2 linked regions of the Sus scrofa genome follow. The protein of the gene in region 2 purifies or fractionates together with the protein of the main gene of each other region. This does not show direct contact. Links are inferred from orthologs where the notes say so. Each region holds a gene or a part of one and is shown on either strand. Other genes may lie near its edges.

Evidence for each region. Proteins that work in one complex are often made in the same cells at the same time.
Region 1: the proteins of SMARCB1 (region 2) and H2AFZ purify together in Homo sapiens (affinity purification with mass spectrometry; 3 studies listed by BioGRID and IntAct, with this or other methods). This does not show direct contact. The link is inferred for Sus scrofa from reciprocal best matches to the Homo sapiens genes SMARCB1 and H2AZ1.

The regions. Positions count from the first base shown.
Region 1 is NC_010450.4:120,562,039-120,567,030, forward strand, and holds H2AFZ (histone H2A.Z), read left to right. Parts: upstream 1-1,713; 5' UTR 1,714-1,898; coding exon 1,899-1,901; intron 1,902-2,344; coding exon 2,345-2,422; intron 2,423-2,704; coding exon 2,705-2,818; intron 2,819-3,156; coding exon 3,157-3,286; intron 3,287-3,563; coding exon 3,564-3,625; 3' UTR 3,626-3,985; downstream 3,986-4,992. UniProt on the Homo sapiens protein: Variant histone H2A which replaces conventional H2A in a subset of nucleosomes. Nucleosomes wrap and compact DNA into chromatin, limiting DNA accessibility to the cellular machineries which require DNA as a template.
Region 2 is NC_010456.5:49,899,310-49,903,673, reverse strand, and holds part of SMARCB1 (SWI/SNF-related matrix-associated actin-dependent regulator of chromatin subfamily B member 1), read left to right. Parts: intron 1-1,802; coding exon 1,803-1,941; intron 1,942-3,363; coding exon 3,364-3,493; intron 3,494-4,364.

The sequences.
Region 1 (4,992 bases), on a different chromosome or scaffold from region 2:
GGTAGGGATTATTATGGATGTGGATTTACGATTTAGGTGGAGGGATGACTTATAAAATACTAATATAGGTGAAATATTATTTGGGAAAACAATATCAACACAGAGTCCCTCCCTCTACCCAGCAAATCCTAAAGATCAATAATAGATAATGAAAGGATAATATAAGACCCTAATTTTTTTTCCCTTTTTTGCCTTTTAGGGCTGCACTCAGGGCATACAGAAGTTCCCAAGTTAGGGGTGGAATCAGAGATGCAGCTGCCAGCCTACACCACAGTCACAGCCATGCAGGATCCCAGCCACGCATGCCATCTAGTCCACAGCTCAGGGCAACCAAGGATCCTTAACTCACTGAGTGAGGCCGGGAATTGAACTCGCGTCCTCGTGGATACTAGCTGGGTTCTTTAGCGCCAAGCCACAACAGGAACTCCCAATTTTTTAATTTTAAAATTAACAGCAAATTTCCAAAAAAACTTGATAAAACTTTCAGATTGAAACCCAAACTACAGTACTAAAGAGTATATATTTCAAATTTTCTTAATGTCAGAAATACTGAATTATGTTTATAACGTAATTACTGTTAAAACTCCAAGTATGAAAGATTTGGATCACTACTGTCTCCAAGCAGCTGGACGTGTACAGAGGTGCTATTAATCTATTAGTTGGAAAATTAAGTAGCTGGCATTATGATAGTACTGTGTGTACAGTACTATTTTTTTAAGCCCATCATTTGCATTTGATTACATGGACCATCTGTAACTGCCTGTGAATCATATGAGGACATTTACCGAACATTTGTCAAGTAGCAAAATGTTTAGCATAGAAGAGTTGACACATAATAGCCTTCATGTTTCACTAAATCAACTTTAGAAGCCAGGCTATAGGTACAACCCACAGACGTGTAGTCTTTAGAAAAATATGATTTGATTAAAGAATACCGCCTCAGCCCAAGCCTTCAGTGGGTAGACCAAAAGGTCTTTTATGACCAGCGAGGTGACTTTGCTTCACCGTCTTTTCCATGAAACTGTTCTGTTGGGGTTGGGGAGGTAGGGGGTTCAAAAAGTCCTGAGAAAAGAAGAGGAAGGAGATACAGCTGAAAAAGTGGGAGCAGAGGGTCGTGATGAATCGGTGGCTGGGCACTTGCCTAGGAGGAACAAACGCGAAATCACTACCCAGACTATGGTTAGCGAAGGAGTCGGGGCGCCTTTCACTGGACGCCTTCGCGCCACCTGTCAGACCGGAGGTGTCAACGGGAATGCAGGGGGGTCGGTGAAGGTACCCCGTGCTCCGGAAGAAGGCTGCGGACAGGCGGGTCTCTGCCCGCCAGGTGTTCTAACGGGGCGGAGGCGGAGGGAGGGCAGGGCAGGAAGGAGGGAGTGCTAGTCCCCGCTTTCCGAGGTCTCTGGAACCGAGCAAGGAGGCAAAGGTGGAATAGGGGGCAGCTACTGCGTGCCCCTCCCCTGAGCCTCTCAGCTCCTCCCTCCAGGCACGTGACTAAGCCGGCGGGTGCCCTGCTCAAGCAGCGTAGCTCGCTCTGTTTCTTCCCTCCCGCCGCTGTGCCCTTCTTCTCCCGGGTTCCCATCCCTCCGTTCTCCCCCACCTCCTTCTCATGCCCCAATAACAGCTCGAGCTGCAAAGCGCCCGCCCCTCCGCCCTTTTCTTCGCTTGCTCATTGGCTGAGACTTCAAGGACGCGGCCCGAGGGCGGGTGGCAGCCATTGGTGGGATGAGCAATCCGAGTTCCCGGATGAGGGAACATTCTGCAGTATAAAGGGAGCGGGGAAGGCGGGAGACAGCGCAGTTTGAATCGCGGTGCGACGGAGGAGTAGGCGGCGGGATCTCGCTTGGTGACTGACTAGTCCTTTCTCTGCCTTGCTTGTTTGAGCTTCAGCAGAATTCGAAATGGTAAACTTCGCGGAGGCGCTCGAAGACTACGCGGGTTTTTGCCGGCAGGAGAAAAACCCGTTACACACGGAGATGGGGGTGAAGCGGTGACGGTTGGGAACGCGCGGAGAGAGGATGTGGAAGAGCGGGGGGAGGTGTTTTGTCGGCGGCGAGCGGAGCAGCCTCCGATCTCGCGGCGGGCGGCGACGGTTGGGTGGCGCGCGCAGCGCCGCTGGGAGCCGGAGGGCGGTGAGCGGGCGGCCTGAAGCGCGCGGCCGCGGCGGGCGCGCAGCGGGGGGCAGGCGGGCGGGGTCGCCCTTGCGGCGCGCGGCGGGCCGGAGACCCCGGCTGGGCACCGGGCCCCGCTCGCGCCCGGGCCGCCCCGCGGTGGGGGAGGGGCGCGCCGCCTTGGTAATCCTGTATTCTGCGTTCCTTCTTCGCTCGCGGGCGTGTGCGCGCCGCAGGCTGGCGGTAAGGCTGGGAAGGACTCCGGAAAGGCCAAGACAAAGGCGGTTTCCCGCTCGCAGAGAGCCGGTTTGCAGGTCAGTGGGGGTTTCTGCTGTCTGGGAATCGCGGCGTTTTTCTCTCCTTTTTCTCTGTTTATCATTGCACTAGATGAGCTTTTGGTCTTTGCGTGGTGATGGTGTCGGGACTTGGTTTACCGATACAATAAATATTGGGGAAGGGGGGGCGATCACGTGTGGCGATGCTAGGGCGCGTTGCTGCATCAGCCTCCGTGCCCCTTGCTTTGGCGCGCGTATAATTTGACCATTTTTGGCTCCTCTATCTTTGTGCATTTGTGTTTGTGTATGCGAAAAATGAAGTTTCCGGTGGGCCGTATTCATCGACACCTGAAATCTAGGACGACCAGCCATGGACGTGTGGGCGCGACTGCCGCTGTGTACAGCGCAGCCATCCTGGAGTACCTCACCGCAGAGGTAAATGGGTGTACGCCTGTAATCTGGAAAAGGTGGTGGGGGGAGGCGGTGAGAGGGAAGGAGGAAAGTGATGCAAGAAAACTCCCAGGCTCTGAACGCGGTGAGAAGCTTCTGACAACGCTAGAGGGGGCTGGTGTTCATTTTGGGTTCCTCCTGAGCTTGAGTTGACTGCTTTAGGAAATAAAATTGCGTGTCCCCTTTATAGCTTTTGCATATCTTGCCATTCAGGTAGTGGGGGGAGACGGCAGTTGGTAGATACACGTTCACGAAGGTTTGATTCTTCTGGATCTTGATCCTAAGGAAAGTTGGCAGGAGATTGATTAGATTCTGTCTTCTAGGTACTTGAATTGGCAGGAAATGCATCAAAAGACTTGAAGGTAAAGCGTATTACTCCTCGTCACTTGCAACTTGCTATTCGTGGAGATGAAGAATTGGATTCTCTCATCAAGGCTACAATCGCTGGTGGTGGTATGTAAATACTAAAAATTTTTTAATTTCTTTAGATAATTCTTTACTTTTTTCCCCCACTAGAAGAGGACACTTAGTGTTATTTTCAGTGATCTGTAGTATGGTTGCATCATGAAAATTGATTCCTGTATATAACTTAGTGAATTTTTACTTCTGCATACTCTGGCCTCACATTTAAAGACTTCTTCGAAGTTGAACGTTAAACTGTCATGGTTTTGAAGTCCTGTGTTAATTTTCAAAATAATGTATATTTAAAAGTATCCCTTTCCTCCCCTAGGTGTCATTCCACACATCCACAAATCTCTCATTGGGAAGAAAGGACAACAGAAGACTGTCTAAAGGATGCCTGGATTCCTTATTATCTCAGGACTCTAAATACTCTAACAGCTGTCCAGTGTTGGTGATTCCAATGGACTGTATCTCTGTGAAAAACACAATTTTGCCTTTTTGTAATTCTATTTGAGCAAGTTGGAAGTTTAATTAGCTTTCCAACCAACCAAATTTCTGCATTCGAGTCTTAACCATATTTAAGTGTTACTGTGGCTTCAAAGAAGCTATTGATTCTGAAGTAGTGGGTTTTGATTGAGTTGACTGTTTTTAAAAAACTGTTTGGATTTTAATTGTGATGCAGAAGTTATAGTAACAAACATTTGGTTTTGTACAGACATTATTTCCACTTCGGTGGATAAGCTCAATAAAGGTCATATCCCAAACTAGTTGTGTATTAAATTCACTTGATTATGATGGGAACAACTTTTGTTTTGAATAACTATCTTATCCAGCAATAACTTAATAAGCACGTTTCTTACCTTGAAATTAAAATGTTAATTTTGTAGATCAACAAACCTCGAAGGCTAAAGCATATATATATTTTTTAATGCTATGAGATGAACTATTAAAGATTTTAAAACTTCAGTAGGAGCTTGGAACTGGACAAGGTGATGTTTTTTAGGTTAAATTTGATCATCTCAATTTGTCGCTGCACTTGCTGTTTGTGACAGCAGCACTACATCCAGAGCACTGTCATGGACTGGGGCAGGTAGGGAAGTTCTGTATATTGCTACCTCCACAGAAGGTACTTTCAGTATAAACAGTGAAGTGTTTCCTGTGTTCTCCCACTGTTTCAAAGGCTACCTGGATTAAACTGTTCAGTATGCACCATCTAATCCCGTTTTTACAGAAAAGAATCAAGGTTGGAGTTCCCCTGTGGAATAGCAGATTAAAGGTCCCGTGTTGTCACTGCAGGGGCTCCAGTGGCTGCTGTGGTGGGGGTTTGGTCACTGCCCTGGGGAACTTCTACATGCCTTGGACTCACCAAAAAAGAATCAGGGTTTCTCTGAAAGTCCTGAGTTGATCATATTTGCTGTCATGGCTGTCTTTACTGAACATTGTATGAAACGATTATTTTGTGGTTAAGTTGATTGGATCGTTTTGACATGACACTTGGCTTCTGACAAGTTCTTAGTTTTTGAAACTCGGATTAGGTCATTACAAGGCTCATCCTGCACACGGAGACCAGTATGACAGGTATAGCATTTCACAGGGGTAATGTGAAAAAAGAGTAGGGAGAAAACCAGCAAATAGATACATGATGGTAATACATTCCCAACGAGCTGATTCCTTCCTCGTTTTGGTCATGTAGGATTATTAGGGTTCCGGTTTTTCGCCAGAGTAAAGGCAAACTGCAAATTGTGTTTACTTTAACT
Region 2 (4,364 bases):
GAGAGGCTGTGCTTTCAGGGGCCTGGCTTAGCAATCATCAGACCGTGGGAGTTCTGGGAAAGGTTCAAGATCAGAGTGCTGTCTCCAGATATCCAGTAGCTCCTCTGACAGCATTGAGTGGACAGCCTCCAGACCCCTTGCCCTTGACAAACAGGCACCATATTCAGCGAGACCGGCCAGCCTTAGCAGCACCCACTGTGCCCCCTCCCCAGTTGGGTGTGCAGCCTTGGGAGGGCATCTGCAATTGCAGTGAGTGTGTCGTCCCTCTCCTGTCATCTGGAGGCAGCTGTAATCACCAAACTGGAGTCACAACTGAGAGGACCCTAGGAAGTCCCCTTATCCACACCTTCACTTTGCATTTGGGAAACCGTGGTCCAGATGGCAAAGGCTGGTTCTGGGAAAACCCAACAAGGCAGAACCCTGATCTCAGTTCTAAAGGGATCATTAGAGTCAGTGTCTTTTCAAAAACCTAATGGAAACTCTATGTTTACCCTTGGATGGTAACGACACTCAAGCCAATGACTCGAGTGGGTCTGTGCCTGCAGTGTGGAGCACGCGTGACCCCATGGCCACATTCTCCCACACTGTTTGGCAGCTCTGGTTGTCCATCATGTAGATCTTTTATTCCTGGAGAATGCAGAAACTTTTAAATAGTAAACATACTATATTGGGGTAGGTAAATGAGAAAATAGTGGAAGTGGTCCTTGTGGGGTGAACTTCACAGTAAATAAATATTTGACCCATGAGTAAGAAGACTTGGGAAAGGGAAGTGATTTTCAGTCACAGGTGGAGCCAGCGCCCATTCCCCTGCCACGTGACTCAGAAATGACCATGTGATGTTTTTTTGAAAAGTCAGTGAAACAATGAGGTTTTCTGGAGTTCCCGTCATGGCGCAGTGGTTAACGAATCCGACTAGGATCCATGAGGTTGCGGGTTCGGTCCCTGCCCTTGCTCAGTGGGTTAACGATACAGCGTTGCCGTGAGCTGTGCTGTAGGTCGCAGACTCGGCTTGGATCCTGCTTTGCTGTGGCTCTGGCGTAGGCTGGCAGCTACAGCTCCGATTAGACCCCTAGCCTGGGAACCTCCATATGCCGCAGGAGTGGCCCAAAGAAATAGCAAAAAGACAAAAAAAACAAAACAAAACAATGAGGTTTTCTTTATAAAAACTTCAGGGCTAGATCTCTTTTCATCAAGTAAGTCATATGTTGAGTATTTGGGACAGGCAAACTGAAGCCATTGTTTGGGGTGGTAATGATTTATATAGCAATCTAGTGATTGCTGATAAGTGCTTTTTAAACTCTTTGGAAAATTCTTTGGCCTTTCTGGTTTGAGTTTTGTTACTAAACAAAGCTACAAGGGCCATGGGGAAAATTATCCTGCATCTGTCTAAAATTAAAGGCCCTTTTTGGTCTTTATTACATCGTAAAAATATCAAAGTCATGTTCTTAAGATAAAAGAAAGTCAGAGGGCCTTACATTTCTGTAAAGTGCCAGAGATCCTTAGTCCAAAATCAGCATCATCCCTGCTTCTCTGTGAGCTTCGGGTCCTTTCTGAACTTGGTTGGGTGGTGGGGATGCAGATGTTATTCCCCTGCCAGAGGGGCAGATGTGGGCCAGATCAGAACTTATGTTGAGTTGAGCCCTTGGTGTCAGCAGGATATGTTTTTACTACAGCTGGAAGCCTGGCGCCTGGGGGCCAATTTGCAGTCTGTTTGTCAGTGGTCCAACAGAGCCTCTGCACCCGGATCGTCCCTTTTGGCCCCTGTGCGACCCTTATAATGAGCCTTCTTGCTTTACTCATAGGTGGGAAACTACCTCCGTATGTTCCGAGGTTCTCTGTACAAGAGATACCCCTCGCTCTGGAGGCGACTAGCCACTGTGGAAGAGAGGAAGAAAATAGTTGCATCGTCACATGGTAAAAAAACAAAACCTAACACTAAGGGTGCGTCTTCACGAGGGTTTGTAAACCTGTTTCAAAACCACTCGCTTCTATCATGAAGATAAAACGTTTTCACTCCAGCGTGTCTTGGGGCGGGATCCTGGGGTGGGCCCGGGTCAGGTGGTCTCTGCCGAGGCTGGGAGCAGAGGGCGTGGGGTGCAGGGGGCGGGGCCGGGAGGTGAAGACACGTTGGTCTCAAAACGTTTTAGGAATGCTGTGATGCTCTGCCGCCGCCTCTCCGCGGTGCGTCGCCAGCCATCGTCACTCTCCATGCGGCCTGAGCGGGAGCGGCAGGGGCCGCCCCAGCCCCCGCCGCCCTCCGGGCTTTCACCGCTTCGCTTCCCAATGCACGTCCGTCCGTAGTAGCGTAGTACCTTGTTCTGCCAGCCGTTCCCCTAGCGCGCGCGTGTGCATGTTGCCTGAGAGCCTGGGGCGCTGGGGCTTCTAGCCGGCGGCGAAGGGTGCTCCCCAGGCCTCTGGTGGGGGGCAAAGCTGCTGTGCGCGTACCCCCGCCCCTTGGAGTCCCCGCATGCCTGTGTGCTTTCCCCGTGAGTGAGTGTGCTTTGCAGTCTGTCCCGTCGGGCTGTGTCTTGTTTGTAGGCGCTGCTGTGGTCTTTTCCACAGCAAAATAGCGTTCTTTTAATGCAGGAGCCGGAGCTGCTTCCCCCCCCCCCACCCCCGCTGCTATAACATTTCACTTGCGCTTTAAAAAGTCTCCCTTTGTCCTCTCCTGCCCCAATGGAGTTCCAATCACCCCTGCAGTGAGCCCCCAGCTGTGCTCCCCTCTGCCAGCCTCTTTCCAAGGAAATCTTGGCCACCCTTCTGCCTCGTGTTTTTGAGACACCTTCCCTGTAACCGATTTATTCCTCCAGGCCACTCTCTCAGCCAGGCTCCATAGGAGAGCTGGGGGTCCAGTGGCCTAGAACTGGCTGCTTCCCAGATGGCTGGCATTGACTGGACCAGGGAATTCCTGTTTGGTGTGAGGCAGTTCTTTCACTCTCTGGGCTCTTGCTTTAAAAGAACTGTGTTTTTCATCTCTCATTCCATCTCCACCTTGCTTGTGTCCTGGACTGCAGTGGTGTCAGACCTCTTCCCACTGGTGGTGTCGCTCTGGAGCCTTCCATGGCCCCGAGGGGCCCCGCTGGCGGAGCCGCACTGTAGCTGCCGCTGCCTGTGCACTTCTCTGTGCCTGGGGCCAGTGCTTCCGGGACACCTTAGTCCACGTCCATCCTAAGGGAGTGCTGACTCGCGAAAGCATGCTAGGGTCCAGACTGCCCTTTTGGAAGAGGCCAGCATCGGCAGTAGTGAGGTTGACGCCTGCTTGTCCCACCTCCTGCACGTGAGGACCTCGGTGTGCTGCATCTCCTGGCTGTTACTGCCCGCTGCCTGCCAGCAGGGTGACCACAGCTGCGTCTCTGGTTGCAGATCATGGATACACAACCCTGGCCACCAGCGTGACTCTGTTAAAAGCCTCCGAGGTGGAAGAGATCCTGGACGGCAACGATGAGAAGTACAAGGCCGTGTCTATCAGCACCGAGCCCCCAACCTACCTCAGGTATCACACCCCCAGCCGGAGCCCACTCTCAAAACACCCGTGGGAATTTTTCTCATAGGCTGCAACCACCATATTTTTTAGTGCTTTACCCACTGTGCTTACATATCGTCTTAGGGTTTCCAAGTTTTCTCTGTCTTTGGAGTTTCTAAGAACTGTAAACCAAGTCTTAGGGTCTGAAGAGTCATTGAGAATTTGGGACCCACCTGTCAGAGAAATTAGTGACCCAGGTAAACTCACAAAATAAATAATAGGTTTTGAATCTATAAACTTAGATCCCTTGAGGAATTCCTTGGTGGCTCAGCAGGTTGAGGACCCAGCATTGTCACTGCTGTAGCACATGTTCAATTCCTGGCCCAGGAACTGCTGCATGCAGGGGGCATGGCCAAAAGAAAAACCAAAAAAAAAAAAAAAAAAACCAAAAAAAACCCCAAAGCTTAGATCCTTGAAAGAGTATTTACAGTAACGATTATTAAATAGGCAAGTAATTGGGAAGTTACTACATTGTAGAAAGAGGTTTTTCATCCAGATTTATAAGAAAAACTTGGATGTCCCAATTGATAAATTAGAGTTCCCGTCGTGGCGCAGTGGTTAACGAACCCGACTAGGAACCATGAGGTTGCGGGTTCGATCCCTGCCCTTGCTCAGTGGGTTAACGATCCAGCGTTGCCGTGAGCTGTGGTGTAGGTCGCAGACGCGGCTCTGATCCAGCGTTGCTGTGGCTCTGGCGTAGGCCAGCGGCTATAGCTCCGATTCGACCCCTAGCCTGGGAACCTCCATATGCCGCAGGAGCGGCCCAAGAAAATGGCAAAAGACAAAAAAAAAAACCCCCAAAAAACAAAACAAAACAAAAAACCCAAAACCAATTGATAAA